Linked DNA regions of Oryctolagus cuniculus. The protein of the gene in region 1 interacts with the protein of each later gene in a pairwise test. Links are inferred from orthologs where the notes say so. Each region holds a gene or a part of one and is shown in the gene's direction. Other genes may lie near its edges.

What was found.
Region 2: the proteins of SORBS3 (region 1) and EIF3H interact in binary tests that used the Homo sapiens proteins (3 or more experiments, as listed by UniProt). The two-hybrid records come from large-scale screens. The link is inferred for Oryctolagus cuniculus from reciprocal best matches to the Homo sapiens genes SORBS3 and EIF3H.
Region 3: the proteins of SORBS3 (region 1) and TRIM23 interact in binary tests that used the Homo sapiens proteins (3 or more experiments, as listed by UniProt). The two-hybrid records come from large-scale screens. The link is inferred for Oryctolagus cuniculus from reciprocal best matches to the Homo sapiens genes SORBS3 and TRIM23.
Region 4: the proteins of SORBS3 (region 1) and KIAA0408 interact in binary tests that used the Homo sapiens proteins (3 or more experiments, as listed by UniProt). The two-hybrid records come from large-scale screens. The link is inferred for Oryctolagus cuniculus from reciprocal best matches to the Homo sapiens genes SORBS3 and KIAA0408.
Region 5: the proteins of SORBS3 (region 1) and PAK2 interact in binary tests that used the Homo sapiens proteins (3 or more experiments, as listed by UniProt). The two-hybrid records come from large-scale screens. The link is inferred for Oryctolagus cuniculus from reciprocal best matches to the Homo sapiens genes SORBS3 and PAK2.
Region 6: the proteins of SORBS3 (region 1) and VARS2 interact in binary tests that used the Homo sapiens proteins (3 or more experiments, as listed by UniProt). The two-hybrid records come from large-scale screens. The link is inferred for Oryctolagus cuniculus from reciprocal best matches to the Homo sapiens genes SORBS3 and VARS2.
Region 7: the proteins of SORBS3 (region 1) and SH2D4A interact in binary tests that used the Homo sapiens proteins (3 or more experiments, as listed by UniProt). The two-hybrid records come from large-scale screens. The link is inferred for Oryctolagus cuniculus from reciprocal best matches to the Homo sapiens genes SORBS3 and SH2D4A.

Annotation. Positions count from the first base shown.
Region 1 is NC_091439.1:764,858-769,042, reverse strand, and holds part of SORBS3 (vinexin), read left to right. Parts: intron 1-396; exon of another isoform or gene 397-532; intron 533-690; 5' UTR 691-734; coding exon 735-841; intron 842-1,138; exon of another isoform or gene 1,139-1,271; intron 1,272-1,612; exon of another isoform or gene 1,613-2,237; intron 2,238-4,185. UniProt on the Homo sapiens protein: Vinexin alpha isoform promotes up-regulation of actin stress fiber formation. Vinexin beta isoform plays a role in cell spreading and enhances the activation of JNK/SAPK in response to EGF stimulation by using its third SH3 domain.
Region 2 is NC_091437.1:142,350,767-142,355,539, reverse strand, and holds the start of EIF3H (eukaryotic translation initiation factor 3 subunit H), read left to right. Parts: upstream 1-1,663; 5' UTR 1,664-1,678; coding exon 1,679-1,852; intron 1,853-4,773.
Region 3 is NC_091445.1:86,547,589-86,551,773, reverse strand, and holds part of TRIM23 (E3 ubiquitin-protein ligase TRIM23), read left to right. Parts: intron 1-61; coding exon 62-172; intron 173-2,016; coding exon 2,017-2,141; intron 2,142-3,656; coding exon 3,657-3,836; 3' UTR 3,837-4,185.
Region 4 is NC_091436.1:42,226,574-42,230,758, forward strand, and holds the end of KIAA0408 (uncharacterized protein KIAA0408 homolog), read left to right. Parts: intron 1-213; coding exon 214-387; 3' UTR 388-3,323; downstream 3,324-4,185.
Region 5 is NC_091435.1:83,348,393-83,351,508, forward strand, and holds part of PAK2 (serine/threonine-protein kinase PAK 2), read left to right. Parts: intron 1-1,286; coding exon 1,287-1,424; intron 1,425-1,874; coding exon 1,875-1,961; 3' UTR 1,962-3,116. UniProt on the Homo sapiens protein: Serine/threonine protein kinase that plays a role in a variety of different signaling pathways including cytoskeleton regulation, cell motility, cell cycle progression, apoptosis or proliferation.
Region 6 is NC_091436.1:139,550,805-139,555,434, reverse strand, and holds the start of VARS2 (valine--tRNA ligase, mitochondrial), read left to right. Parts: upstream 1-1,302; 5' UTR 1,303-1,428; intron 1,429-1,870; 5' UTR 1,871-1,898; coding exon 1,899-2,102; intron 2,103-2,204; coding exon 2,205-2,286; intron 2,287-2,382; coding exon 2,383-2,483; intron 2,484-2,745; coding exon 2,746-2,867; intron 2,868-2,948; coding exon 2,949-3,015; intron 3,016-3,100; exon of another isoform or gene 3,101-3,103; coding exon 3,104-3,201; intron 3,202-3,691; exon of another isoform or gene 3,692-3,711; coding exon of another isoform or gene 3,712-3,764; coding exon 3,765-3,846; intron 3,847-3,981; coding exon 3,982-4,101; intron 4,102-4,464; coding exon 4,465-4,576; intron 4,577-4,630. Other genes in the region: GTF2H4 (general transcription factor IIH subunit 4), read left to right, coding at 390-437, 556-634, 897-1,069. UniProt on the Homo sapiens protein: Catalyzes the attachment of valine to tRNA(Val) in a two-step reaction: valine is first activated by ATP to form Val-AMP and then transferred to the acceptor end of tRNA(Val).
Region 7 is NC_091439.1:3,497,649-3,502,598, reverse strand, and holds the start of SH2D4A (SH2 domain-containing protein 4A), read left to right. Parts: upstream 1-1,987; 5' UTR 1,988-2,144; intron 2,145-4,950. UniProt on the Homo sapiens protein: Inhibits estrogen-induced cell proliferation by competing with PLCG for binding to ESR1, blocking the effect of estrogen on PLCG and repressing estrogen-induced proliferation. May play a role in T-cell development and function.

The DNA of each region.
Region 1 (4,185 bases):
GTGATGGGAGCCCCGAAGACTGCAGTTATGTGGTTCTGTAGTTGTGTCTACTGTGGTTGAGATGACCATGGAAGGCAGAGATCCCAGAGGTGGGTCCCTCTCACATAGGCAAGTGTGGGGTGGAGAGAGTGCGCGTTGGGATAGAGGACTCTGTTGATATCTAGGACAGCCTGCCCTCAACCCGTGCCAGCTGTGGAGGCAGTGCGGCCAGGGGGAGGGGCTGCGAAACCAGACCCCTGGCTCCGGGTCAGAATCCTGACCCTCCTGTTTCCCCACCCCTCTTCTTAATCTGCGTTTCAAAGAGGAGGGATTATTCTCACTAAATATGGGCAGCGAAGGAGGAGCAGGTCAGCTTTGCGAATGTTTTCCCTGGCCCCGCGGCCCCACCAGCCTCTTTCCCGCCTCCCTTCTGTGAGGCCAGATGGGTCGCATGGAGAGGAGGGTGGGCTCTGAGCCGGGAGAGGGGGTGGGCGCCGCCCAGGCCAGGCCCAGGTGGACAGGCCCCAGTCCACCGCTGAAGGAAAAGGCCCAGGTCTCCGCTCTTCCGAAGCTGCTTACTGAGCTCCCATTCCCACGGAGATGAGGCTGCGGGCCGGCCCTAGCTCTTCGCCCCTTTTGTGAGAAACAGGAAGTTGGGATCTTTGTCAGCTGGCGGCCCCCTCTACATTAAATATTTATCTTGGAGTCCAGGTCAGAGCCCTGGAGAGTAAGAAGCTCGTGGCTGGGCAGAGGGCATGGCCAGGATTCCTGCAATTGGAAGATCTTCAGCCGCACCAACTTTGGAGAACAAGGAAGAAAATGAAAGTGAAATGGCCCTCCTTAGTCCCAAGGAGCCTAACAGGTGGGAACAGCTCCTGACCAGGGAAAGGGGCCCCTCCTTGGTGTCAGAGGCGGGGAGGAGGATGTGGCCGCAGGCCGACCCTGGGGAGCGAGCTGGCATGCCCATCTTCTTCAGCCTGCATGGCTGAGCTGTTTCCGCACAACCCAGAAGCTCTTGGACCTGGACCGGGGAAAACAGGGCACTAAGTAGCAGTGTTGGGGGTTGGGATGGACCCGGCTCCGTGTCTTGTGAACTGAGTGGTGTGCTGGGGAAACGGAAGCACGCGGTGACCTCCCACGCCAGCCCCTCCCCCAGCAGGTGTGCAGTAGGAGTTGTCATCTTTTCCTGACTCCTCCCAACATGGAGTTGAGGTTGATCAATAACTTTGCCTGATGGCTGCTGTGGCGCACCAGGGTCCCTGAGGCAAGCCGAGGGCTGGAGGTACTCTGGGGTCAGTGTCCACTCTCAGTGCCCAGTCCCAAGCACCCTCACTTTCTGGAAACTTCAAGAGAGCATGGCTCCAGGGAACGTAGAGCCAGTGGGCGGGGCAGCAGGAACAGCGGAAGACCAGGAACATCAAAATAAACAGGGTGTATGGGAACACCGAGACCCTCCTAACCCCGTCCCCGCCCAAGGGACCCCACCCTCATCCTCTCAGGGGCGCGGCACGCCCGGGGGGGGGGCGCTCCCTCGGGGTGATTTCCTCCCGGGGCTTGCACGTGTGTGAGCGTCCGCCGGCCGCCAGGTGCACGCGCGCGCGCGTGTGTCTGACCCAGGCGACGCGGCACCCACTCGTCCCGCGGGGGCGGGCGGCGGGGTGCTTCCTCGGGTCCTCCAGGCGCCTCCCCAGGGCCCCGGGGCGCACGGCTCGCTCGCGTTCGGCACTCGCGTCCTGTCCTGGCTCCGCCGGCGCAGAACCTCGTTTCCCACACTCTGGAAATGTCGCTGGAAACTCTGAGTGGCCCTCGCCGGCCCGCCCTCCCCCTTCCCGACGCCAGCCCAGCGGTGGGGACCGGGGAGGGCGGCTGGGAAACCAGAGCGGGCTCCCCGGGGACCCTCGGCGGCCCCTCCCGGCGCCGCCTCCCCGCCGGCCCGGCCCCTCGGGCAGGGGGCCACCGGCGTCCCGCGGCGCGGCTCGCCAGGACCGAGCGCGCTCGCAGCCCCGCGGGAGTGAGGGGAGTAGCTGTCGCACACGCAAACTCCACCCGCGCCGCGCCGCGCCGCGTCGCGCCACTCTCACGGTCCTGGTCCTGCCTCCCTCTTCCTCCTCGGGCGCCCAGTCTGGCCGAGCCCTCTCCTGACCCGGTCACGCGCGCCGCCGGGGCCCGCCAAGGCCGCGCCAGGCAGGAGCCGGGCGGGGATGCCCCTGCCCTCCTCCAGGGCGGCCTCGGCCCCCGCCACCTGCTCGCCAGGCAAGGTAGGTGTGGGGGGAAGCAGAGGGGGCGTGGGAGGAGGCGAGGCGGCGGCGGGGGCGGGACCCACGGCCCGTGGCGACGAAGGCACGGAGCCCCTCCTCCGGGGTTTGGTCCTGAACTCCGCACTACGCAGAGGTGTGAGGTCCCGGCTTCCCAATCCAGAAAAGGCGAACTTGGAGAAAACCCGCCTCGCCCACGTGGACTTGTGGCTGGAGAATACCTGGGACAGCGCACAGGGCCGAGCCCCCACCCCCCGCTCCCCCTCCCATCAGAACAGCCCTAGGGCGGGGGTGGGGGTGGGGCCGCTCAGAGATGCCCCGGTGAGAAGCTCTTCCTGCTGTCCTCCAGCAGAGAAAACTGGGACCCCCACAGCCCCTGCCCTGCGCGCTCCTGCGGGGTGCGTCACGGAGCGCAGAGCTGGGGAGGGACAGTTGCGGTAGCCCCTGAAAGTGGGGGCCGTGTGGGGAGGCTCCTGCGGGGGTCAGCCCTCCCCGAGCTGGCCGCTGGCTGGGGCTGGGGCTGGGGCAGGAAGGCGCGGGGCAGCTGACGTTGGGGACCTCGGGGCTGAGCCTGCAGCTTGGCCTCCAGGCGTGGCCCTTTGGGGAGGGGTCCCAGCCAGGGCCGCTGGCTCGGGGCAAGCCTCTTGCCCTGCCTCGATTTCCCCTTCGAGGAGTCAGGGCAGCAGGAATGGGGTGTGTCTGTGTGTTACTTTTGGTAGGAGTCCTAATTGGTTCCAGCTGGAGAGCAGCCCCTCCTCCAGCACAGCCGGGTCCTTCGTCTCCCCCCGCCCCAGTCAGGGATGGGCACAGAAGGGCTGCAGACCCCACAGCTGGCTCAGAGGCCCCCAGAAGCCGGGGGCTGCCCCCAGCCTGGGCGCTACCCCCGCCGGCCTCCCAGGCTGGAGCAGGAAGTCGGCTCAGGAGAGGAATCAGCCTCCTCTCAGCCCCCAGGCCCCGGCTGCACCGCTCATGTGACTGCCCACCACACAGGCACACCCGATTCAGCTGACAGCCCCTGTGCCCGCCCCAGCGCTGCCCACGCGGTCCCCTGGCAGCCTCCCCTCCCCCACAGAGTCATCCCCCTGCCCCACAGCATCTCCCAGGGAGCCTCCTCGGACGTCACACGCCCATCCAGGATCCAGGTCTGGTTGGGGCCAGCCCTGAAGCTGGCAGAGGCTGGCTCAATCCAGCAAGCACAGGGGAGAAGGGGCAGCTTCTGTGCCCCGGCCCTCAGCCGCTCTACCCCAAGACCCTCTAGCAACCTCCTCTGGGCCCCTGGAGCCCCCCTGGCCTCTGCCCGGGGCCAATCAGGGGTGCTGCAGCCAGAGACCACCAAGCAGCTTGGAGGTGCAGGAAAAAGTGTGGAGGGTGTGTGTTTGCACGCACACACCCAAGGGGGCTCGGCCCCACCCCTCCATGAGCCTGAGCAGGCCCAGCCTGGGCGGCTCTCTCACCCCACCCCTCCCTGGCACCGGAGTCCGCTGAGTCGTCCAGAGTGGATCACGAGGAGTGGTTCCTGCTGCCGGGAAATGCCCCCCACGCTCTGGACTTGGGGCACCACCAGCTGCTTCCCAGCGGCAGTGGGCGGTGGCCTTGCCCTTGGCAGGGCCTTCCCCCTCCCCCGCCTCGTCCCAGCTGGAGTGATCGCTTGTGCCCGTGGGCAAGCAGATGCTCCCACAGGGCCTGGAGGAGGCAGAGGGAACTGAAACAAAGTCCCCTCTCTGCCTGTGCGCCCCAGTTCCCCGTGCCTGGCCCGCAGGCCCGCAGGTCCGCAGGCTGGCCACCTTCCCTCTCCTCCTCCTCCTCCTCCTCCTCCTGGCCCAGGCCTCCCCTCCCCCCTTCCCACCGGGGCCTAACAAGCAGCCCATTGTGCCTCCGGGAGCCGGCACGGGCAGCCTGCAGGCCGGTGCCCACAGTTTCCTGGGTCCTTGAGTTCCCACCCAGCTGGGCC
Region 2 (4,773 bases), on another chromosome or scaffold:
TCCTCGGAAATCTGGATGAATGACCTGATGGGGAGAATAGTCTTTACTGTGGAGAGCAAATCATGTAGGGTAAACATTGTGACACACAATCTGGCAAAGTTTCACAAAGTGTAGAAGAGTTGAGTAATTTAGGTTTCTACTGACCCATTTGCTTCCGTCTCTTGAGGCATAATCTGTAGTGGAATCCTCATTTCCCCACTCATTTGTAGGATTAAGAAACATAGTCAGTACTAGTTCTTAAGTCTTATATGTGGAATAAAGCCATAAAGTATGTCTTGCTGTACTGTAGAAAACTTGAATATTTCTAAGATTTCTAATATTTGTAAGTTACCTTTCTCTTTTCTCTACAATAAAGATTCTTCCAAGGAGGGCTTGAGTTCCTCTTATTGGGGGCGCTATTTATGCTTTTAGAAGTAAAATGTTCACTTTTGGGTCTATATTTTTTAGGGTCCTCACTTTTCAGCAACACTAGGAGTCATAAAACTGGAAGGAAAATTTGTGGTTTAATCACAGTGTACATAAAATTTCCTGAGGACATAACAACAAAACGAACAAAAACAAAGGAAGACTGGACCATGCTACTTTATTAAACATTGGAATCAGCAGGATCTTAGGATCACTGGAGAACTTAGAAGCAAAACAGAAAGAAACAAAAACTCCTAAACACAGTTTGGGAACCCAGCCCAGATCATTTAACTGAATTTCAGGAAGTTGGTTCAGATATTGGCCTAGGAGGGCACCTTAAAAAGTTCACAGAAAAATAGAAAGAACTGAAAGATCGTCTATGGTGGTATAAAAAATTTTTTAGTCTATGCATAGTTTTTTTCATAATATGCATTTTTGATGAACTATTTGAAGACCTTCTTCATGTTGTATAGCTCCCAAAATAGCTCTAATATGTATCCAGGATCAGGACTATTCTTCATGTATCTGAAAAGCTCAGGTCATTTTATTAAGCTGAGAAGTAGTGATTTAATGTTCCTGAGTGTGGGGTCATTTGTAACACAAATTAAAAATGTTAAAAAAAAATAAGGGAATGTTTTGTTTTGGAGAACTATTGAGCTTCCCATGTATCTGCTTTTAAAAGAAAGAACATGGAGCATGACATTAATAAACAGGATAATTAAAAAATATATCAGCACTGTTTTGTGGACAGAGGCATACAGTTTGTTAGAAAGAGAGCAAATGAAATGAGCAAGCAGTACTTTGTGGGGGAATGTACCCGTCTTGTGGCTTGTGAGAATAGTGTTTTTAGAGATTAAAAACCCTTCACATTCTTGCAGCTATTGGAAGTTTCCTGTGTGTGCTGCTTGAATTTCAGTGACCAGGGCACAGTGATTTGACAACCAGTACCATTAATTCTCTACCTTTTGCTGCCTGACCCTGAGCCCTACACTGTGGTGGAATGAGAAGGCCATGCCAAGATGGCTGCTGGCAAGTGAGGGTCAGTTACTTAGGAATAGCTTTGAAACCCACCTGGCAACAGAACCTGCCTGGCAACAGGCTGTGATTGGATGGCCTTGGAAATCACATGGCAACGGAGCCTGCCTGGCAACAGGCTGTGATTGGATGGCTTCGGATACTGCCTGGCAACACGCTGTGATTGGTTAGGGCATAAACCGCCCCTTGACCGAATTGGCTGCTTTGGCTATTTAAGCTGCTGTACCAACTGTAATAAATGAGTCTGTGGGCTGCTGGCCTCTGGCCTGCTTTCATCCAACTCCTGGGGTATGTGTGGGTGACTCCACACCTCTTGGCCCTACCACACTCCTCCTCTCAGAACAAATCAACCTCGACACTATACAAACCGTTTCTTGTTGCGTATGTGAAGCCCTGCTTCTCCAGAACTAGAGTTAGTAGAGCTGTTGCTAGTTTATTGTATCTGTTGCAGACTTGTGCTTATAAACATTTGTGGGTTACCTAAAGTTATTCAGTTATCGTGAAGTAATTAAAAACGCTTTGGGCACAGAAGTCAAATCTTGCCTGCTGGTTTTAATAATTCCTTAACAGGAGATATCAGTTTTATTATGTAAAAAAATAATAATATAACTGATTTCATAGGCTGGTTGTGAGGATTAAATGAGTCATTGCATGTAAGGCACTTTGTGGAGTACTTGAGATTCATACAAAAGTGATTGATGAATGTTTGCCATTCTATCCTTAGCAGATATCTTTTCAGATCTAGCCAGTGCTTGAGTTGGGAGGAGATGTGGTAAGTGAAACAATCTTTTTTGTGAGAACATTTAAGAAGGATGACACCAAACGGAACCTGGATTGTTTCAAAGACACTGCTATTCTATAAAACACATATATTTTATACACACATGTACACATGGCCAATTAGTGGTTATCTACATAGAATCCGAAAGTATGTATATTAATTATTTCTTTAAAATTGGAACAAATTTTATTCACACTTGAAAGGCATAGAGACCAGAGAGACAGGGACAGGCTAAGAAAGATTTTCTGTTTTCTGTTTCACTCCCTAAATGCCTACAGCAGCCAGGGCTAGGCTGGCAGTTAAGAACCCTGGACTCAGTCTGGACCTCCAACATGGATGGCAGGGACCCATCTTCTTGAACCATCACCTGCTGCCTCCCAGAGTATGAATTTTTTTTTCTTTAAGATTTATTTTATTTATTTGAAAGAGTTACAGAGAGAGGTAGAGACAGAGAGGTCTTCTATCTGCTGGTTCACTCCCCAGATGGCTGCAATGGCCAGAGCTGTGCCGATCTGAAGCCAGGAGCTTCCTCTGAGCCTCCCACGTGGGTGCGGGGGCCCAAGGACTTGGGCCATCTTCTACTGCTTTTCCAGGCCCTAGCAAAGAGCTGGATTGGAAGAGGAACAGTTGGGACTCGAACTGGCGCCCATATGGGATGCTGGCACTTCAGGCCTGGGCTTTAACCCGCTGCGTCACAGTGCCGGCCCCCAGAGTATGAATTAACAGGAAGCTGGAATGGAGACTAAAGTCAGGATTAGGACCCAGGCCATTGGATACATGATGTGGCTTCCCAAGTGGCAGCCTAGCTTCTCTATCAGACATCTTCCCCAAGTACCTTATATATTAGACTAAAGAATCGTGATTTTAGTGTGTCTGCAGGAAGTAGGAAGACCATAAAATGCAAGATGAAGTCAGCTTACTTTTAGTATTTTTTTCTGACTGCTTTATTTCATCAGCTATAAAATGAGTAGATCATAAATTCTAGAGTTTGACATTATTTTAGTGACTTAAGTCTTTTCTGAAGACTTTCTATTTTGAACAGCCTTGAATGCCATAGAGAGTTTATGTTTAAAGTTGACATATTTCCTGAAACTCACACGTGGTCCTCAAAGTTTGCCTTTCAAAGTTGGGCTAATTCTCCAGTACCTGATGCATCTTTGCTAGTGCAAAGATATGCTTTTTGAGTGTCCCTTGCCTGGAGAGAGGTTTGAATTTGTAAGTAGTCCTGTTGTGGGTTTTAAGCCTTCTTTCTTAGATTACCCTTTCTGTGTATTCATTTTCAATGTTGATTGTCTTTAGCAGGTAATAACCATTGTCCTTTTCCCACCTCTGGTTGAGTATTTTTACTGGTAAATTTGTCCTCTGGTCATTCATTGTTAAGAACTGCATATAATAGTTCAGTGATGCTGCAAAGAGTGAGATGATCACCTCTGTTTTGGATGGTGATAACTTGTTTTGAAATAATATTTTCATTTCTGTTTTCTTCATAAAAGGAAATAGGTTATTTTGATCTCGCTTTCTTTCTGAAACAATGCCAGGATCCTAGTCATCAGTACAAGTAGGAACTAGCTGATAGGAATCAGTTCTAGAATTTGTCCATTAAGTCTATATATCTTCTGACATTTCTACTTTGATTTCAACAATGGCTTAGTGATCCCATTATAAGGTAAACTTCCCAAGAACATATATATGTAAGTTTGGTAGGTGTTTTTGTAATAACTCCTCATCGGTTTGGTTTATCCTTTCTTATGCTTGCTTTTTTTTTTTTTTTAATGTAATTGTTTTTGGTAGAGAGAGATGTTGAGTAGGAGTTATTTATTTTTGTTGGTAATAATAATATTGATAATTTATTGAGGGTGCCTGTGCTGTAGTGCAGCAGGTTAAAGCCCTAGCCTGCAGTGCAGGCATCCCAGATGGGCACTGTTTCATGTCCTGGCTGCTCCTCTTCCAATCCAGCTCTCTGCTATGGTGTGAGAAAGCAGCAGAAGGTGGCCCAATTCCTTGAGCCCCTGTACCTGTGTGGTAGACCTGGAAGAAAATTCTGGCTCCTGGCTTTGGATCCACTCAGCTCTGGCTGTTGTAGTCATTTGGGGAGTAAACCAGCAGGATGTAAGACCTCTGTCTCTCTCGCCCTACCTCTTTAACTCTTTCAAATAAATAAAACCTTTAAAAAATAATAATTTATGAGAGGCTAATGCTGTGGCATAGTGGGTAAAGCCACCGTCTGCAGTGCCAGCATCCCATATAGGTGCTGGTTTGAGTCCTGGCTGCTCCACTTGCAATCCAGCTCTCTGCTATGGCCTGGGAAAGTAGTAGGAGGTGGCCCAACTCCTTGGGTCCTCTGCACCCACGTGCAAAACCCAGAAGAAGCTCCTTGCACCTGGTTTTGGAGCCACTCAGCTCCAGCCATTGGCTGCCATTTGGGGAATGAACCAGTGGATGGGAGATTCCCCCCCGCACCCCCCCCCCCGTAATTCTGACTTTCAAATAAATAAATCTTAAAAATAATTTATTGAGCACTTACATGGCAGACTTTGTAAAATACTCTGTGC
Region 3 (4,185 bases), on another chromosome or scaffold:
CTTGTGGTGTGTCACTCATTGTAAGTAGAAGTACAATATAAAGGAACTCTTTTTAAAACAGGTTTTAATGTGGAAACCGTTGAATATAAAAATCTGAAATTCACTATTTGGGATGTAGGTGGAAAACACAAGTTAAGACCATTGTGGAAACATTATTACCTTAATACCCAAGGTAAGAGTCAAAAATAACATCTTGACTTTACAAATTTTTAGGGTAACAGTCTTTAGTATACTGATTCAAGTGAAATTAGCTAAAATTTGATTGTAATTCCATTGAATTCTACTTTAAATTTCTTTCCTTTTATTTTATTTTTTTTAAAGATTTATTTGAGAGGCAGAGTTACAGACAGAGAGAGGGAGACACAGAGAGAGAGAGAGAAAGAGGGGTCTTCCATCCACTGGTTCACACCCCAAATGGCCACAATGGCCAGAGCTGTGCCGATCTGAAGGCAGGAAACAGGAGCTCCCTCCAGTCTCCCACAGTGGCCCAAGTGCTTGGGCCATCCTCTGCTGCTTTCTCAGGCTCCAACAGAGAGCTGGATTGGAAGTGGAGCAGCCAGGACTTCAACCGGCTTCCTTATGGGATGCTGGCACTTTAGGCAGACGCCTAACCTACTATGCCATGGCACCAGCCCCTCTAGTCTAAATTTCTAAAAATTGATTAAATATTTTTTATACAATTAAATATCAGTGACCAGGTCCTTATTTTAAGAAAATGATTATGGTAAGATGGGGATGTATACTTTTTTGGTTTATTCATGATAAACCATCATTAGAGAATAGAGGCCATACTTAGCTATATAGATGGTTAAGACTACTTGCCTTTTGTGCTATTATCAATTAATGTATATTTCAATATTCTTCATACAGATATAATCTCTGGGCAATGGTGGTAGTAATTTGAATTTGTGGTGTATGGTTTTGCTGCTCAGGTTGGTTCAACCTGCTGAGAAATCTACAGTGATTTGCTTTTGACCAAACTATATGAGTGTTATATCACATATCCTCCACTTTTGTTCATATTTGGGCCCTACTCTACACTTTAGCCTCTTGTATTAGTCTGTTTTCTGTTATTATACCAAAATACTTGTGGCTGGGTAATATATAAAGAAAAAAAGGTGTATTTAGCTCACAGTTTGCAGGCAAAAAGTCTATGTAGCACAATGTTGGCTCTGGGAAGAACCCCTCAGGTGCATCACATTATTGTAGAAGTGTTGGGAGTGTGTGTGAGACAGGAAGCCAGTAAGCAAGTGTGGTCTCATAACTGTGCTATTTCCTCCCAGTGGCATGCATTCAGTTTTCTTACAACATCCCCCTAATGCCCTACTTTTTAAACATCCTACCAGTATGTTAACATCAGGACACTGGGAACCGAGCTTCCAACACAGGAACCTTTGAGGGGAACCACCTAAACAAGGTCCTAAGCATAGCACCTCTTATACCCAACTCTGAGGCTTATGTTCATGCTACCTATTCCCTGTGTCATCCTACCTTCCACATAGATGGTAGACTGGGTAACTTTTTACATTGAGATTTTTGATATTAAGTTTACTATGAATCATAGTTAATAGAAAATGAAATCTTGAATATGAGGAATGCTTGAAAGTCTGGGGATATTTAGCTGAGAGAAAGAAAGAGAACTTTGAAGAAAGATTCTGATTTTTTATTTTTAAGATTATCTTTTGGTAAATGAAATAGTCTTCAGAAAACAAGTGCCATCAGTAGGTAGAAAATCTTAAGAGGCATAATTTTCACTAGTTAAGAGAAAAACATTAATATACATAGCAACTTATGTTTGATAGAGGAAGTGTTGTAAATCCATCATAGATAGGGAAAACCAAACCTGACAATTTATGTGAACTACTGTAATTTAAGGCAGTCAGTATGCGAAAATAGTGATGGCAGACAGACCCTAACTATAATATAATAATTAGAGCATTAAATAAACATTTTTTCATTCGTTGAAACTTGACAGATGACTAACTGAATATTTTTGTGGCTTTTGTTTTTTGGAAGCTGTTGTATTTGTTGTTGATAGCAGTCATAGAGACAGAATTAGTGAAGCACACAGTGAACTTGCAAAGTTGTTAACGGAAAAAGAACTCCGAGATGCTTTGCTACTGATTTTTGCTAATAAACAGGTAATGCAATTTTATTTCTGAATATTTATCATTCTAGTATTTAGTATTCCTTAGTAGTCATGCATTCCATATCATAAGGCAAGTAGAAAGATTTCAAAAGAGAATCAATTCAATAGAGTTACATCATTTCTACCGTGTATTTCAAGTACATTCCCTGTGGAAAGTGCTATGCTGGATAGTTTGGAATACAAAAAATCAAAATAGTTGATACCAGACATTCCTATGTATGTATGTTAACACATATGTGAGATTCTAATACAAAGAAAACTGGTAAATAACTTCAATAATACTTTAAAAGTATTATGGAGAATTGGGAAAGAGATTCTAAAGATGGTATCTTGAAAGATTTTTAAAAAGTAGAATTTGGGTTGAAATTATGATGAGTTGATATTATGGATAAGAATTTAAGTATTTGAAGGAAAGAACGTTACAGGCAGAGAAAATAGTAATCTGAGTGATTTTTAGGAGCAGCAAGCAGACCTGTATGAGAGATGCAAGAAGAAGATCAAGAAGAAAATCTAGAATAACAGAGGCGATCACATCGTGAAGGCCTACCTGGCTGGACTGAGATTTAGCAAAGGAGAATCATCAAAATGTTTCTGACTAGTGGGTTGTAGATATAACCAGATTTTAAGATTGTGGTTCGGGAGTTAGAATGTAGAATGAAATCAGGGCAAGCGAGTAAGGACAGGGAGATGCAGTAAACTGCTGATATAATTCAACTGAGAGTTAACAAGGGTATGAAGTAGGGGAACAGAAAAGTAGAAGCCAATGGAAGACATATTTTTTTGGCAAAATTTGTAGAATTTGTTGGTTGAATGGGGAAGATGACAGACTGAGAGTAGCTGAAGATTCCTCGATCCTGAACCTAAGCTTTCAGAATGCTTTTAAGCAATGAAGAGAAGAGAGGTGGAGTAGAGTCGATGTCATAGGGGGGGAACACTATGATGAATAAGGAATTTTCCTCCCTCCATAATAAAAACAGCTAAGCTATTAAGAATTGAGATATTTACTTATGACTAAAGACATTTGAGTAAGACATACTCATACTCATACCATTCTCCACCTCTCAGATGTTAATGATGAAAATGTTCTTGTGTTTATTTGCATGAGCTGCAAATTTTCTGGAAAAATACATAGTTACTGGTGATGCTGCCCAGAAGTCAGTGTAGGAGATGTTTGGAGTGAGAATGCTGTAACTCTTCATTATATACTCTCTCTTTATAGCATATTTTGTGGTATACTTGTGTTACTTAGGTCATATCTTTCATTTAGGTTTCATGGCTTTTATTGTTTCATGGTAAGGCTGCTGTTACAAAATACTCATTGTAAACAAAGCTCTCATTTTTTCTGTTCATATTAATCTTAGAGTAATTATTGAAAGATGGGTCTAGGTTTTAACTTTGGTTTGGGCTTCTGTTAGTATGCTTCAGCAAATTTTTATGTAAATAGTATTAAGTAGAAAAATGGTAATTTGGATAAACTGATAAAAAATTATGTGTGGATATCTTTCAGGATGTTGCTGGAGCACTGTCAGTAGAAGAAATCACTGAACTGCTCAGTCTCCATAAACTGTGCTGTGGCCGTAGCTGGTATATTCAGGGCTGTGATGCTCGAAGTGGTATGGGGCTGTACGAAGGGTTAGACTGGCTCTCACGGCAACTTGTGGCCGCCGGAGTACTGGATGTTGCTTGATTTAAAATGTAGCAGTTCTCTAAAGTTTTATGTTTTAAGAGTTATTTTTCACATAATATAAGAAATCCTACACCTCAAAGATGATTAGGAAAAGGAATCTTAAACTGGGAATTAAGTACACTATTGCTTAAAAAAAAAGTTATTTTGTAGCAAATCTAAATATCTGAGCAGTTTGTGTTAAATAGAGATTTCTTGAGTACACATTTAAAAAGTACAAGTTATTTAAATTTTTCAGAGTGGTGACTCACATATTGGGAAAGAAGTAGTCACAGAGAAAGGATAAGTGAAGGTTTATTCTTTCAGTGAAAAAGGAATAGCTGTCTAGTAGAACCTCTGTGTGAAGAAGGGA
Region 4 (4,185 bases), on another chromosome or scaffold:
ACAAGATTATCACATGTAATGATTTATATTAAAATTGAATTGCTTTGATTAAACATTCCAAGCCACAAATATTAGACAGATACCATCTTTAATTTTCAGTGCCTTTTCTTGGTTATAAGTAGGCCACATTGATCCCTTAGTTGGGATCTACAGTATATATAGTTTGCCATTAGTGCCTGTATAGTGAGATGAATGTCTTCCCTTGTGTCTCAGGAATCCCTGGCAGTGAAGGCCTTCCCTGGAAAAGGGTTTTCTCGACCTGCTAGACCAGCAAATCGCCGCCTCCCATCCAGATGGGCATCCAGATCACCGTCAGCACCCCCAGCCTTACGGAGAACTGCCAACAGTTGCACCATTTCTCTTCAATCTGAAGCAAAGATGGTCTAAGTCTCTGGCCTGGATTGTTAGATTACAAAAGCTCTAGTCCCAGTGGCCAAACAGCATTATGAGTGTTTACAGACAGTCCTGTTTTCTACTGTATCTTTCAAGATCACTGGGAGGAGTAATTTAAATCTTAACCTTCCATCAGTCTTCAGTGTTTTTAATCTGTGGAACAGTTATCTTCCTGTGTTTTGATTTCTTAGACCAGAATTTTTAATGTCACCCTCATCAATTTCCCAATATGATTTCAGTTGAAACAATGTGTACAGATATTGTATATTCTTTCTTGCAAGTGGCAGAAAGCAAGGTTATGTGCATGACCATTTGTTTGTAGGTGCATGTGTTGTCATAGGAAGTATCCTAGTATGTGTTTAGATAACAAAACCGTATGTGCTAGTGTTCACTTTGAAATTATAACATGTATGCCTATATATTCTTTGTGTTTATTTAAAAGTTTTGAAAATATACAGTACTGTTTATATTTTGTAGACCTTTTAATAGGTATCCACTTAAGTTATTTGAGGTATACATATATTAATTAACCACTTCTATGGCTGTCAACTTTATTGAAAAATAATCATTATACACACGTCTAACACTGGTAGTTTTCTAAATACGAGTCATAGTTGCTTAATCCATGTGAGGATGAACTAACAATATTGATCTCCTTTTTTAATCTTTCAAGTAAGTATGTCACAAACCTAACAGATCGACCTTCTGAAATAGCATAAATATTCATAAAAGCTTTTATGTATCATTTGGTAGTCTAGTTTGGCTCTGACAATGTATTGATCCTCAGAGCTGGTTTCATGAGACTGCCTTATAAATGACATGACGAAATAATTTATTTTGTCAATCTCAGTGACAAATATTCCTTAAAGGGGATGCAAACAGAAATTAAACTATGTTGAAGTTCTGCTTTTTGTTAAAATTGTGGTAAGCTTTTAGTTTTGTTGCTTTATCTAGAGTTATACATGACTAGAGGTAAGTTGTTCATTTTTTCCTTTTTCTAAACTTTTCCCTAACATTAAGAGATAAAAGACTAATTCACTGTTTTTACTAACAAGGAAAGCAGGAATAATATTTCACTGAGCGCTGAACTGTAATATACTTCTTATAGTGTGCTACAAAAAAAAAAGCCTTAAACTAAACTTTGGCATCCATTGTAGCATAAGAATCAGAAATGTATATTTTGGCATTTTCTACAATTTAAATACAGTGAACACCTAAGATCCATGTTCTCACTGATATAAATAAGAATGATGAGGTGCTTGGAATTCTACACAGAAGATTTTAGAGGCAACTTTGCTCTTCACTGTCTATATAATACAAAAATAATTATGTTTTATTATTATCAGTAATTCTATGTAATTTTTATTTTACTGCCAGAAAAGGTTAAGAATTTCTTATTCCAAATGTATTCAAAGAGCCTTCTCTTTATTCTGACCATTTAGAGAATCTCACTTCATTCTATACCATGCCCAAAGGTAAAGTAAACAATTATAAAATAGCAAACTGCCTTAAAAGGCTAAAGACTGCAGCATGGTGATGGCCAGATTCATACTTTACCACAAGGTGACCTTCTATTGTGAAGCTAAAATAATCTTCTAGGATAAGATTTTGGATTGGATGGTAAGTAAAGGCTATCAATCCACAAGTAATCTAGAAATCAATTGAAATCACTGTCATTATATGCTTTTAAAGCAGAGGGGTGAAAACACTGGGAAGGTGGTATTCTGGGTAATAAAAAGATGGACCTGTTAGGAAAATGTTGCTGCAGTGGTGCCAAGACACCATCCATCACTGTATTCCAGGCAGTTTTGTATGATCTGTGGCTCCTACCTTTACCTACAAGTCAGAATATTGAGGATTTCTTTTAAAAATGAAATTATTGCTCTTGTTGCATAATTACTAATGCAAAATTTCAAAGGGTAGGAACTAGGACTCTCTTAAAACAAAGCAAAATACTTGATGACCAGGATGATTTGCAAGAAATAACACTGATATCTGAATGAAAAGATAACCTTGGGTAATCTCTTTCCTTCCCTGGGACTTGCCATTCCTACCTGTAAATTAGAAGAGTTATATTGTCAGGCTTCCTAGTTTTAAGCCACTAACCACTTGAATGAGCCAGTGGGACACATTTTAATATCTTATGATGACAAATCAGAATATTAGCCCTAAAACATTTAGTATCTAGTCCAACCCCTTGGTTATACAACTGAAGAAATTAAATCAGCTTACTTGAATGTTCTGCTTTTTATTTAACATGTTTTATAAATTTTTATGGAAAAATCTATCGGGTAAATGGAAGTTATCCTTGGAAAATATTTTTTGATGTATTGTGATTTTTAACTGGTCGTTTTTCTACTTTGGATGGACATTTTCTTCCCAACAACATATCCTTCATTGTGACACCATTTTTGGATTTAAATATTGGAGTAGAAACTCTTATAATGATAGATGTGTTCCTTAGAAGGCATTTGGGGGTTGGGAGTCTTACATTATTTCAACAGGAGATTATTGGCTAATCTCAGAAAGGAATAACAATGAGGCAGAGAAGAGTCCTGTGTGAGTGTATGTATGTGCCTGTCTGTGCCATCCTAACTTAAGCTCTTTCTGTTGCCCTTATGTCCCTAACACAAAAAATATAAATGATGCTTTGTATAGTTCACTTTCTCAAAACTTACCATGAGTTTTATTGACTTTTATTTAGACAATGAGAATGATCATTTTTCATTTTACAGATTTTTCCATAAAACATAATTCACTTCTACACAGATTGATTTTTACAAGGCTCCTTGTCATCCTGAGGAAACACCTCAACCTTCAAGATTATCTGCTTCCTTAAAAAGATCTTTAGAATTATTTTAGGCACATTTGCTGATAATGAAATCTCCTTCACTCATTGGAAGCTATTAAATAAAATAAGTGTGGAAATACCTGCTGTGGCATTTTTATGCATTCAGAAATTCTGTTTTTTCCTCAAAGTTGAGAGTCTTATGTGTAAATTCAAATACGTACACAGTTTAATCTAGCCTTCCCAAAAATGTCTCTAAACAGTAGAATCTGAGCTAAATCTGCCTGACTTTCTGCTCCTGGCCACATCTAACCCCGTATGAATATAGTTTCTCACACACTGACATTCTGTCTCCTATCTGTGTCCAGGTAGCATCTGATAGAGTTGATTAATATGGTTTTTTGAAAAGTGCATTCACTTTTGAAAATTTCCATTTGCATGATTGTTTACAATCATGATTACCCATCTTATCCAGAATATGTGTTCCTTCAAAAAAATGGACTTCATAAAGCAAAAAACAAAAATGTTTTTAAGGAAAGAAAGGAATGTCCCCCAGATAAGAACAAAAGATGACTTCAAAACAATGATTTTTACTGTATACAGGTAAATTTTTCAAATAGGAAATGATTTTTGTTTCAATGCAAATCAAATTCTGAAGACATAAGATCTGACATATATTTCAATACTGTGCAAATCCAATAGTTTATATTGATAAATTCCAGAAAAAAATATGAAGCTAAACAGGACTCTAGAAAATTAGGGAAGTCTAGATTTGGAAGGAGTTTATAAATCACTCTCCTCACTTAGAGATGAAAAACCTGAGATTTGGTGTGGCCTTCTTGGCTGGCAAAGTAACAAGAAGGGGATCTGGGACTGGGCTCAAAGACAGGTCCTGCTTCCCCATGTAAATGTGTGATGTGTCTTTATGACTTTATTGTTTCAAAGAACATTGATCTTCTATGACTTGTTTGATTCTTGTTAAAAACTTCAAAACAAGCAATTGG
Region 5 (3,116 bases), on another chromosome or scaffold:
CTTGGGCCCTGCACCCCATGGGAGACCAGGATAAGTACCTGGCTCCTGCCATCGGATCAACACGGTGCGCCAGCCGCGGCGGCCATTGGAGGGTGAACCAACGGCAAAGGAAGACCTTTCTGTCTCTCTCTCTCACTGTCCACTCTGCCTGTCAAAGAAAGAAAGAAGGAATGGCTGGAAAGGGAGGAAAAGCCAAATAAATATATGCCCTGGAACCTGTATAAAGAAAGTAAGCTTGTCAGAAACTGCAGTTACGGCCATTGAGATGAGGACTCAGGAGGGTATTGGATGCAGCAATGAAGATACTGCTTGGTACCCACATCTCTTATCAGAGTGCTTGGGCTGAGTCCCTGCTTTGCTTGTGGATCTAGCTTCCATCTAATATGCACCCTGGGAGGCAGCAGATGACGGTTCAAGTAGTTGGGTTCCTGCCACCTACCTGGGAAACCTGGATTAAGTTCCAGACTCTGTTAAACTTCGGGCTGGTGCTATGACATAAGTTAAAGTTCTTCTTGTGTCTGTATATAGTATATATAGTGGCCTTGGTAGCTACACAAACCAGGTGTTCAAAGAATGACTGCCTGGTGAGAAAGGATATCTATAGGGATGTAGAAATAATCAGGCTTCAATTCCAATTTCTACAAACCTAAAACTTCTTAAATAACAGTTAATCAAAAAGTAATAATTTCATTTCTAGAAATTTATAGGAAATAAAGAAGTACATAAAGAATACAAGAATTTTCTAAAGGCTATTGATTATAATAGAGAACATAAGATACTGTTTGATTTAACCATTAAAATAATTTTGCGGGGCCAGTGCTGTGGTGTAGTGGGTGGAGCCGCCACCTGCAGTGCTGGCATCCCATATGGGTACTGGTTCGAGTCCTGGCTGCTCCACTTCTGATCCTGCTCCCTGCTTACACACCTGGGAAGGCAGCAGAAGATGGCCCGAATACTTGGAAGAAGCTTCTGGCTCTTGGCTTCAGACTGGCTCAGTTCCTGCCGCTGCAGCCATTTGGGGAGTGAACAAACAATTGGAAGCTCTTGCTCACTCTCTCTATGTCTCCTGTCTCTGTAATTCTGACTTTCAAATAAGTAAATAAATCTTTTTAAAAAGTACATAAAATGAAAAAGGAAAAATTTCAGAACCAAATGAGTAAAAATGATAACCTCACTTTGATGTTGATGTTTGTTTTTAAAGAATTAAGAGATCCACAAACTTTGTAAAGTGATCTGTCAGTTTGTTGCACTATCATAAGTGTGTAAAAATGTTCTTCCATTTTTAGGCCTTGTACCTGATAGCAACTAATGGAACCCCAGAACTTCAGAATCCAGAGAAGCTTTCCCCCATATTTCGGGATTTCTTAAATCGATGTTTGGAAATGGATGTGGAGAAGAGAGGTTCAGCCAAAGAACTGCTGCAGGTAATTTGGAAATGATGTCATTTTTGGAAAATTTAGTTGCCTTTGTGTTTTGAGTAATCTAGAGAAGGTTTTCATAGGGTGGCAAATCATTGTATTTCACTATGTATTGATCACCTTGGTGTGGTAACTGCATTTTAGGGCTCCTTCTGGGAATAAAAATCTGTAACATCATAATGAGTTTTTGCATACTGTCAGTTTTCAGGCCTGTTCACTGCTGGCCTGGATATGTCTGTGGCCTTAACTATAGATTTATATTAGGAAAAGTAAAGTGGTTGCTTTCAGCTTTAGGTGTTGTACTGATTATGTTGGTTTCATATGGATATTGACTTGTGGGGATACTTTAACAAATAAACCATGATTCATAAGTAGTCTTTGGGGATTAGTTGAAAGGAAACATTTTGTTTCTAAGCTGATAGCATTTACCTGTTTGTTTCTCCCCTTTTCTGGCAGCATCCCTTCCTGAAACTGGCCAAACCATTATCCAGCTTGACACCACTCATCATGGCAGCTAAAGAAGCAATGAAGAGTAACCGCTAACATCAGTGCCGTGGCCTCATGTTCCTTTGTCCATTTCCTAAAAGAAGTCTTTTAATATATGAAAGTTACTGCTCTTTTCGGGGTTTAAAGAAATGGTCTGAATAATGGAGGAAAAACAAAGCTACTATTTCTTGAAGACAACTAAGACAAAATTGCAAAAAGAGAATCATGACTTTCAGATGAACCCCTTCTTTAGGGTCCAAAGGAATTGTGGACTGAGTCACTCGCCTTACATCTTTCAGCAGACAGCCGTCAGGGCTGTTCCTTATGCTTGAGATTTGCATTTTATTTTGCTAACTTTGTTGGAATAGATCCCATTCTTGTCCCCTTTGGGGTGTTTTCAATACTTGAAGGGCAGATTCGAGTTTTTCAGCATATTTGTTTCACCTGCTGGTCTTCTCTCTCCTTCAGAGCTCTCCTTTTCCTCGACTTGCTCCTTTTGAGTTGCTTTGAGAACTTTTTGTCGTGCCTGAATTCAAGGCAAGTATGATAGAAATTGTGCAGCTCCTCATTGGCAAAGGAGCTCAGCATAGTTTAACTTTGTATAGAAGTTAGGACCAGCAATGGTTTCATGGAATATTTCAGTTCAGAACTTGAACTGAAAGAAGGGAAGAAAAGTATGTGATTTTTACCTTTTTAACAAATGTGAAAGGGTCACTTTGAGAAATCTCATGGTGGTGAGTTTGGAGTTTGTTACATGTATAGAAAGAAGACTAATCTATATTTATAACTAAATCACTGAGACAAAAAAGAATCCCGGCGACTGTACACCCTGACGGTTTTGTCTTCCTTTCTGCCTTTCTCCTCTTCAGATTTGGCTTGAGGAGGAACCAAAGTGATTTTTCTTGTTCCAGCTTGGGCTTTATGACTGGTTAGTGCCATTACCTTTCCTTTCCTCCTTTCCTCTTTCATTTTGGAAATAAGTTTCTGTATATGTTGCAATTTTAGGTTTAGTTTTTTTGTTTTTGTTTTTATGTAACCCTCTCACCTTACATATCCTGTTCATACCACATCCTACTCTGTAATAATCATTGAATTTTCAGAATTTGAAAATTAACTTTTGTTTTCCACTTAAAGGGAAAAATATTTGGGGTTAGCAGAGACAAAGTGAGAGATTGAACTTTAGTGAGTTGTAGAATAATTAGTTGAGACTGT
Region 6 (4,630 bases), on another chromosome or scaffold:
TCGGCACCACTGCCTGGCCGCGGGGGCTGGGCTTGCTCTCTCCTCCCTGATTCCTCTTCTGGTGAGTGACAGCTCTCACCTCCCTGGGCTGCTGGGAGCACTCAGCAGGAGAGCAGAGCTAAAGCATTAAGCTCAGAGCCTGCCTAGCAGTAAGTTGATCAAAAAGTAGTAGCTGTGGCTATTTTAAAGAAAAAAACAAGTTAATGGAAAGGGCAGACTGCAGACTTGACCAATAGAGAGGCTGTGGGCGGTGCAGTAAGGGTAACAACAGGTGAACAGGGGTGGGCGGAGCCGACAACAGGGAGGTGGCCCTGGGGCTTTCTAGAGAGAGCGGCTGTGCTCTGGCGACAGTAGGTTCAAGCCCTCTCGCCATTCTTGTCTGTTCTCAGATAATCCACTTCCTAAGGACAAGGGCCCACCCAGTGATGCTCAAACAGGTAAACACAGGCACCCTGGGCACTTGGCAGTGAGATGGCGGGAGAAGTCCCCCCAACCTGGGGACCAAGTGCAGGGCCAGTGTCCCTGAAACCCCTCAGCCAACTGTTGTCCCCGCAGACCCCCGTGCTGCCCCCCACCATCACGGACCAGATTCGCCTGTGGGAGCTGGAAAGGGACAGGCTGCGGTTCACGGAGGGTGAGTGGCGCTGGGCACCGGCATGAGGGACGGCAGGCAGTTCAGCCTTGACGGGCTGAAGAGTTCTCCACGCATGTCACCTTGTGTTTCCTGCACGGAAAGCTGGCAGGCCACTTGATTTTGGGGCAAGCGGGCACTAGTCAGTAGACGTCCCCAGTCAGGGCAGTCTGGATTTTGTGGGAGCTGGGCACACACTAGTGTCAGGCTGCCACGGGGGGGACCCCCGCCTCACGTGCTCGCCCTCCGCTCCTGCGCACCCCAGGCGTCCTGTACAACCAGTTCCTGTCGCAAGTGGACTTCGAGCTGCTGCTGGCCCACGCGCGGGAGCTGGGCGTGCTGGTTTTCGAGAACTCGGCCAAGCGGCTCATGGTGGTGACCCCGGCTGGGCACAGCGACGTCAAGCGCTTCTGGAAGCGGCAGAAGCACAGCTCCTGACCGGACGCGGGCGGGCGGCGGGCGGGGCGGCCCCACAACTCAGGTGTTTTTTTTTATTTATGCATCGGGACTTTTCTTGTTCAATAAAATCGTGAAAGTGAGCCCCTTGGTCCCGCGCGCCTCTCTGCAAGCCTTCGCCTGTTCCCGGCGGCGAACTCGCTCCTCTCGCGCCGGCAGCCATTGGACGCGGCGGCGGTGGGGGGCGGGGCCGAGGGAGTGGCCGTGCACGCGCAGTGCGTGAGGGGCGGGCGGTCTCTGCGCGCAGCGTGATCGCCGGCCTGCTTCCAGGGCCAGCTTCGCTGGTGCCCCGCGTCCCTGCCGCCGCCGCGGGGCGCCCTGGGATAGCGGCGGGGTCGCCGGTGAGCGCGCGCCGGGGCGGCCCGGGGGAGGTGGGAGGGGCTGCGGGGCCGGGGCTCACGGGGAGGGGTGGCCGGGCCGCGCGGGCCGGGGACGCTGCGGGCGGAGACCGCGGTGGGCCCCCTAGGGCGGCTTGTAGGCGCTGCTGGCCATCGTCTCCCCGAATCCCCGAGTCTTGCCCCTCCGCCATGTCGCAGAGAGGCGTGGGCGCGGGGAGAGAGACTCAGACCTTGCCCGACACGAGCCCGGGTCTCCGGGGGCCAGGCCGCTGGCCCTGTCTATACCACGCGCTCTCGTCCACCGGCGGGAGGCGTGGTGTTGGAAAATACTTAGGAAAACTGGTGCGAGCGCGAGGCTTGCAGTGAGGGCTGGGGGCGTGGCCCGGGGGCTGTGCCGCTCCCCGACTCCCGCACCCTCTTCACGTGCGCCGTCTCTCCGGAACAGATCTTGACCCCTCTCCAGACAACTCCCGATGCCTCATTTGCCTCTGGCCTCTCTGAGACCCTCGCTCTGGGGTCTGAGGCCCCCACGGGGCCTCCGCAGCCTCCATCCCCTTTCTACACAGTCAGAGCCCCATCATGGACCTCCCGTCTCCCGGAGGAACCGAGAGGCCAAACAGAAGCGCCTGCGGGAGAGGCAGGCGGCGCTGGAGGCCGGGACAGCCGGGAAGGGCCAGGTTAGGGGTGGAGCACCTTGACCCCAGGCCCCTGAGACGGGTGGGAGGGGGCTAGAGGAGGCTGGGCCGGGATTCCAAGCCCCTCCTGCTGCCTCCTTTCAGTCACCTGCAGAACCCAGGAAGGCCTGGAGCCCTAAGGAGGTGGTGCTGTATGAAGTCCCTACGGAGCCCGGGGAGAAGAAAGGTAACGGTGGCGTGCAGATTCGGCTCTCCCGCTGTCGCCAAGGTGCAGCCGGGAAGGAAGTTCAGGAGGTAGTGGAGCTCTCCTCTGCTTCCACAGATGTGTCGGGGCCCCTGCCTGCTGCCTACAGCCCTTGCTACGTCGAGGCTGCCTGGTACTCGTGGTGGGAGCGAGAGGGCTTCTTCAAACCAGAATATCAGGTGAATACCTGGGAGGGAGTGGTGCTCAGTGGTCCCTGAGCAGGACAGGAGCCTCTGAGTCCCGCTCGCCCCGTCCAGCTTGTCTGCTTCAAGCCTGTGGTGTCCTGCAGATTTCCCTTGGCAGGTTCCTCCTCCCTTCCCCGTCTTTCCTGTTAGCTGCAGGGCAGTTCCCTAAGATGCTGTCTGCCTTGAAGACGCCAGAGGGTGCTGTTCCCCCAGCGAACGGCCACCCTCTCTTGCCTTTGCCTCTGCCTCCTCCTAGGCCCAGATGCCCCAGACCACAGGGGAGACGTTTTCCATGTGTATCCCGCCCCCCAATGTCACTGGGTCCCTGCACATCGGCCACGCACTCACGGTGGCCATAGAGGATGCCCTCGTGCGCTGGTGAGAGGGGCGTTCCCGGAGGGGCTGTGGACCGTGGGCGGATGGGTGCCCAGGGCTCAGGCCAGGATGCTTCTGTTGCAGGCACCGCATGCGAGGGGATCGGGTGCTCTGGGTCCCTGGCTCCGATCACGCAGGAATTGCTACACAAGTAGGCCCTGTCCCCGCTCCCTTCTCGGGTGAAGACGGTCTCTTCCCCACAGAGGAGCCTCATTCTGTACCTGCTCCTGATCCTGCAGGCTGTGGTGGAGAAGCGGCTGTGGACGGAGCGGGGAGTGAGGAGACACGAGCTGGGCCGGGAGGACTTCCTCAAGGCCGTGTGGCAGTGGAAGGCGGCGTGAGTGCCAGGCAGGGCTGCAGGGGCTGGGATGCCAGGCTGCGGCCCTGCTTCCCGTCGCTTACTCTCTTACCTTAGAGTTCTCAGCTCGTCCCAGGGCGGCCCCACCCTCCCTGGGGACAGGCGCTGGAGCCCCTTAGCACGTGGTGGTGTCTGCAGGCCTCGTACGAGTGTGTGTGCACGCTGCGTGTCAGAATGTCTGCTCCTGTATGTGTGCGTACACGTGGACGCCTTTTCCTCTGCTCATCCCTTTCCCTCGCCTGGACTTCAGTGTCCTCACCTCCCCTGCTTGCGCATTCCCACCTGCCAGTCCCCGTGTGATCACCTCCGTGCCCCCACGCCGTGCTCGCCTGGCGCCTTCTCCACGCTGCTTTCTTGGACTTGCACGTTGGCTGCCGCCGCGCGGTGGATCCTGTGGGTGCTTATGCCTCTCTCGGTGTCACAGAAAGCCCCCTCCTGGGTCTGTCTCCATTAGCTTTATTTTTGACAGCGCCTGGCACTGCTGGGGGCATGGCCGGGCCCGGGGCCTGGGAAATGCTGACAGGGCTGTCTTCTGGGCACAGGAAAGGTGGCGAGATCTGTGAGCAGCTGCGTGCTCTGGGCGCCTCCCTGGACTGGGACCGAGAGTGCTTTACCATGGATGCCGTGAGTGTCCCACACGTGTCCCTGGGGGTTGTGGGTGTTTGGAGGTCTTCAGATGTGGGAGCTGGGGACGCCTGGGTCCCGGGATGGGCGATGGGCTGAGGAGGGCTTTTGAGGTGGACACTCAGGTCATTCCAGGGCTTCTCGGTGGCTGTGACCGAAGCTTTCGTGCGGCTCTACGAGGCAGGGTTGCTGTACCGAGGCCGTCAGCTCGTCAACTGGTCGTGCGCCTTACGATCAGCCATCTCTGATATTGAGGTGAGACGGGGAGAGGAGCAGGTGGTAAGAACTCTCAGGCCGGGTCATGGAGCGGTTAAGATTCCAGGGGCGGACTGCTTGGATTTGAACCTGAGTGCTGCCACCCACGGCCGAGTGGCTTTGGGCCGGCTGTTCAGTCTGTTTGAGCCTCAGCTTCCTCGGTCCGTAAGTTAGAGATGATGGCTCGCATGTGTCCGTTCCTGACTGTGTCTGAGTGCCTACGGAACACTTGCTCTTCCGGTGGGGTGGGGGAGGGGCGGCGGTGGAGGTGGCTCCTGAGCGATCCGGATGTGACCAGTGCAGATGTGGCTGTGAGCTTTGCAGAGAGGCTGCTGCATCACCCGGCCTCTCTGACCCCTCCAGGTGGACAGCCGGGCCTTGCCTGGCCGCACCGAGCTGCAGCTGCCCGGCTGCCCCAGCCCTGTGTCTTTTGGCCTGCTCTTTTCCGTTGCCTTCCCCGTGGATGGAGAACCTGGTGAGTGAGGCTCGCCCGGGCGGCCGCTGTTGATTGGCACCTGTCTGTGTCCCA
Region 7 (4,950 bases), about 2.7 Mb from region 1:
AAGGGGTTTCGTCTTAATTCTTTGGGCAAGAAGGGCAACTGACTGGTGGATCAGAGCTCATCCTGACAACATTAGCTTGACACCACATTCAGAAACACAGGACTTGGAGAGGCTGTAGCAGGGTTCCTGCAGAAGTGATCTGGAACGCCATCCTCGTCCAAGACCCAGCTACCCGGGGCACTGCCCCAACTGCAGACGCCTCGGTCCGGGACCCAGGTTTAAGCAAACTAGCCAGCTGATTTTCCTGTACACAAAAGCTAGCTAAACCTGGCTCAGAAACAAGACCGGTGAGGAGGTCTGTTAGTTATTTCTGGGTAATAAATATGAATTATTTATAATAAATTACTCCAGATTTAGAGGCTTCACCTCATGGATCTGTAGTGAGGATGTAGACCAAGGCCGCAGTCACGTGGAAGGCTCCACCTCCACGACCATTCAAAAGGAGGGCGGGGGAGAGGGTAGGGGTGGGTAGGTTTCAAGACAGAAGCCACAGGGCTGACGCTGCGGCTCAATAAGCTAATCCTCCACCTGCGGCGCCGGCACACCAGGTTCTAGTCCCAGTCGGGGCGCCGGATGCTGTCCCAGTTGCTCCTCTTCCAGGCCAGCTCTCTGCTGTGGCTCGGGAGTGCAGTGGAGGGTGGCCCAGGTGCTTGGGCCCTGCACCCCATGGGAGACCAGGAGGAAGCACCTGGCTTCTGGCTTCGGATCAGCGCAGTGTGCTGGCCGCAGCATGCTGGCTGCAGTGGCCATTGGGGGTGAACCAACGGAAGAGGAAGACCTTTTTCTTTGTCTCTCCCTCTCTCACTGTCCACTCTGCCTGTCAAAAAAAAAAAAAAAAAAAAAAAAAAAAAAAAAAAAAAAGACAGAAGCTATAGGTGGGGCCAGTGTTGTGGCTCAGTGGCAGTCACCGCCTGAGATGCCAGCATCCCGTATCAGAGCTCCGCTTCTGATCCAGCTGCCTGTTAATGCGCCTGGGAAAGCAGCAGAAGATGGCCCTCAAGTACTTGGGTGGCTCCATTTGGGAGACTCAGATGGAGGTATAGGCTCCTGGCTTCAGCCTGACCCAACTCCAGCCACTGGGGAGTAAGTAAACCAGCAAATGGAAGATCTCTCCTTCCCCACCACATTCCCTCTCGCTCCCTCCCCCTATGCCTTTCAAATAAACAAGTATTTAAAAAGCCACAGGTGTTTTTTTAGTATAATCCTGGAAGTAATGCATCCTTACTTTTGCATTTCTGTGGGTCACCAGGAGCAACTCTGGGACCTCATGGGAAGGAAGCTACACAAGACTGTGGGTCGCAGGAGATGGGGATCATTGGGACTTGGAGGCCAGGTGACACAGGAGGCAAAACCCATAGCTTAGGTGTGACGCGGTTAGAAGCTGGAGTTTACAGTGTGTGGTGTGAACGAATGTGAGCCAATGTGTTTGCACAGTCAGCACCTTAAAGCAGAAATTCTATCTGCTAGAATGACCACTGCATCCCCAGGTGTTGTTTCCTGCCAATGCCTGGTTCTCTAACCTGCGGCTCCAAGCTCCCACTAACTGTGAGCACCTTCTGCAGCTGGGCATGGGGTGGGGTAGCAAGGGGACCTTGCTTCCCTGGCCTTCCTGAGCGGGCCAGGCAGGCTGCGTGGAGCACACCCGGGGCTCACGGCCACCTTTGCCCACACCTCTCCGGGGGAGGCCGCCGCTCTCCCCGCACACAACTCTGTAGACCACGGCCACCCCACCCGTGCTAGCTTCCTCCTGGCTTCTTTCCTTTGCTGCCCCTGTCGCCTCCACCATTCCTTTCCCGTCCCGCCGAGCCACACCTGTCCGCACAAGTGCCCGAGAAGAGACAAGGCAGAGCGGCGAGTCGCGGGGCGCGCGGGACCCGGCCGTGGGGGCTGAGCAGGGCCGCCCCCTGCAGGCCCCGCGCCGCGGCGTGCGTGCGCGGGAAGGCCCGCGGCCGAGCCCTCGCGCACCGCCCGGCCCGGCCGTCACTCAGCGGCCTGTGGGCGCGGCGGCGGCGGCGGCGGGGCGGGAGCTGGGCTCCGCCCGGGCCTCGGCGTCTCGCGCGCGCCAGCCCGCGCCTCCACCACAGCTCCCGGGGCCGCCCTGCTGGACGTGGCGTGCGCGCCGGCGAGCCCAGGGCCGCGCACAGGTGGGTGCTGAGGGCGGGGGTGGCCGGCGCGTGGGGCTGGGGTCGTGCGGTGTAGGGTGTCCGGTGTCCGGTGTCTGACGGAGCCGGCGGCCGGGTGCGCGGCGTCCCGGGGCGCCCTGAGAGGGAGGGCCCGAGGGCGCACAGGGGAGTCCGGGGCTTCCGGCGGGGTCACCCTCAGGGGCAGGGCCATGGGGACCCTCTGCGCCCCTAACTTTCCCGGGACGCCCTCACGTGGGGTCGCGGCGCCCAGCACCCCCAGCTGCTGTCCCCGTGCTCCCTCGAGGGGGCGCCTTGCAGGTTTTCTGTGTGGGTCGCCGCTGCCTTCCCGGGGGTCTCAGAGAAGCCGTGGGCGCTGCACCCTCTTTGCCCTTACCCCCTCCCCCAAGTGGCTTTTGGCTGCTTGTTGAATGGGAGTGACTTGGGCACACTTACTTTGCACTTGTGAGGTGAATTTAAAGAGTAAATACGTGGAAAGACATTAGGCGGGCAGCCACCTGGCGCGCAAGTGGGTGTTTCTGGGCAAATTCGTGGATGCGATCATTTCAAATTCCCGAGAATGGTGGCTCTTCACACACTTTACCAAAATGTGCTGGCGGCCCTGGCAATCCCGGTGAGCCTTAAAAACAGCCCTTTTGCAGGTGGTGGTGGTGGGGTGAGATAACTTGAATAAGATCTAAAAAAAACAGGGCGAGCTGTTTGGAAACAGTCATCCGCATTTTTAACGTGAGAGGTAAATCGTGCCCACCTCAATGTCGTGCCCACGCGGATTTCAGCGGTCTTCCAGGTCTTTGGGTTTGTTTAGGTCTGAGTCGTTAAAAGCAGGGTTGTGTTCTACAACAGTGACTGGGGAGAAAAGTGTGAGAGTCGGGTCAGATCCGCCCAGAAGCCCTGAAGAAACTGGTTTCGGGAATCAGCAGCGAGGGGGTGGGCTCCTGGCTGGTCACCCCTGCCTTTCAAGAGGGAAGTTCCGTTTTATTGGGTCCTGAGCAGCCGGAAGTTTCCTGCACTTGGTGTTATCAGACCAGGAGAGCCATTCGGGTGTGGATCAGTGCTGGCAACGTTTGTGCCCGGGGAAAAACCCCTGCTGAGTGGATTTCTCCATTCAGTTTCCTGTACCCTGGTTCTCCCTGGCTTTGTAGCCTTACGCTCGGTCATGCTACATGGTGCAGATTCATGCACACTGCATGGTTGGGGAAACTGAGTCCCAGGAAGCCCCACGTCCTCCAGCTCGGGAGAAGGAGGGTTGGGAGGCCAGGCAGGGGTCCCTGTGGGTTTCTGTGAGCACACCGTGGGCATCCCAAGCCTGGTGGGGTGAAGCTGCTTCACGCTGGTGTGAATGAACAGCTCACCCTCAGCTGGAAGTCGGCGCCTTCCCTGAGGGTGGGCTGGTTGACGGTCCTGCTGGAAACCCACGTGGGTGGCCGGAGGCAAAGCCAGGCCACATAAACATGGAAAGAGCTTGATGCCATCGCAGACGTGCCCTGAGTTCTGCACACGAGAGAGGGGCTGCACCGGCTGCCCTGTGGCTCCCAGCGCGTGTGGAAAACCAGCGGCTGGGGAGCGAGCAGGGCAGACAGTGCAGGCAGGTGGAAATCCTCCAGCACAGACAAGGAGCGCATGGCTGACAGCGCTGTCCATGCTGCCTCTCCTGGGTGCGGGTTTTCTTTCTTTCTTTTAAGATTGTTTATTTATTTGAGAGGCAGAGTTTCAGAGAGACATTAGAGAGAGAGGTCTTCCATCTGCTGGTTCATTCCCCAAATGGCCTCAGTGGCCAGAGTTGTGCCCATCTGAAGCCAGGAGCCAGGAGCTTCTTCCAGGTCTCCCACATGGGTGCAGGGGCCCAAGAACGTGGGCCATCTTCTACTGCTTTCCCAGGCCACCACAGAGAGCTGGATCGGAAGTGGAGCGGCCGGGATGCAAACCGGCTCCCATATGGGATGCCCGCACTGCAGGCGGAGGCTTGACCCCATGGGGTGTTTTCAAACCTGATCCCTTCTCCCCTAAAGCTCATCTGCTGTCCACAGGGGTGGGGCTTCGGCCCCTGAGCGACACCCGTCTTAGGCCCCTTTAGGTCATCGTTTCCCTTGCCGCAGGCCCGGATGGTGTCCTGACGGTTCGCCGAGATGAATTCAGAAACCAGGCCCCTGTGTTGGGCAGTCTAGCGGGGGGCAGACTTTCCTGCCAGATGGCCCGGCTCTGCACCTCCCAGCCGGTGACCTGGGCCCAGCTTCCTCCCTGAGAAGGGGTTGGTGATGGGTTCCCGGCAGATGAAGTGAGTCAGTGCATGCAGGGTGCCCGGTAGCTCTGCCATCAAGAGGACAGGGTGGGGTGTGTCAGGGGGAGGGGGGAGAGAGAATGTGAATCTTACACTTCCAGGCTTTTCGTTCTGAGGGTCTAGCCGTCCTTTTGATAGGGCTGCCCCCATTCAAAATGGTCAGAGCAGGAGCCTCACCCCTTGGGCTGCTGGCGCTCTGCCCTCTGCAGGTCGGTGGCTGGATATCAAGAGGTCTTCCCTCTGGGTTCTGAACCATGCACTGGACCGTGCACTCTCCAGCACTGGAATCCAGTGCCTTGGAGCCAGCCCAATCCTTCCTGGAGGAGGAGTATCCTCTCTCTCTCTCTCTGTCTCTCTCAGATATATTTATTATTTGAAAGACAGAGAAAGAGCTCGTCCATTCGCTGGTTCACTTCCCAGATAGCCACAGCAGCTGGGGCTGTGCCAGGCTGAAGCTGGGAGCCAGGATTTTCCTCCGGGTCTCCCACGTGGGTACAAGGGCTCAGCAGAGGACTTGGGCCATCCTCTGTT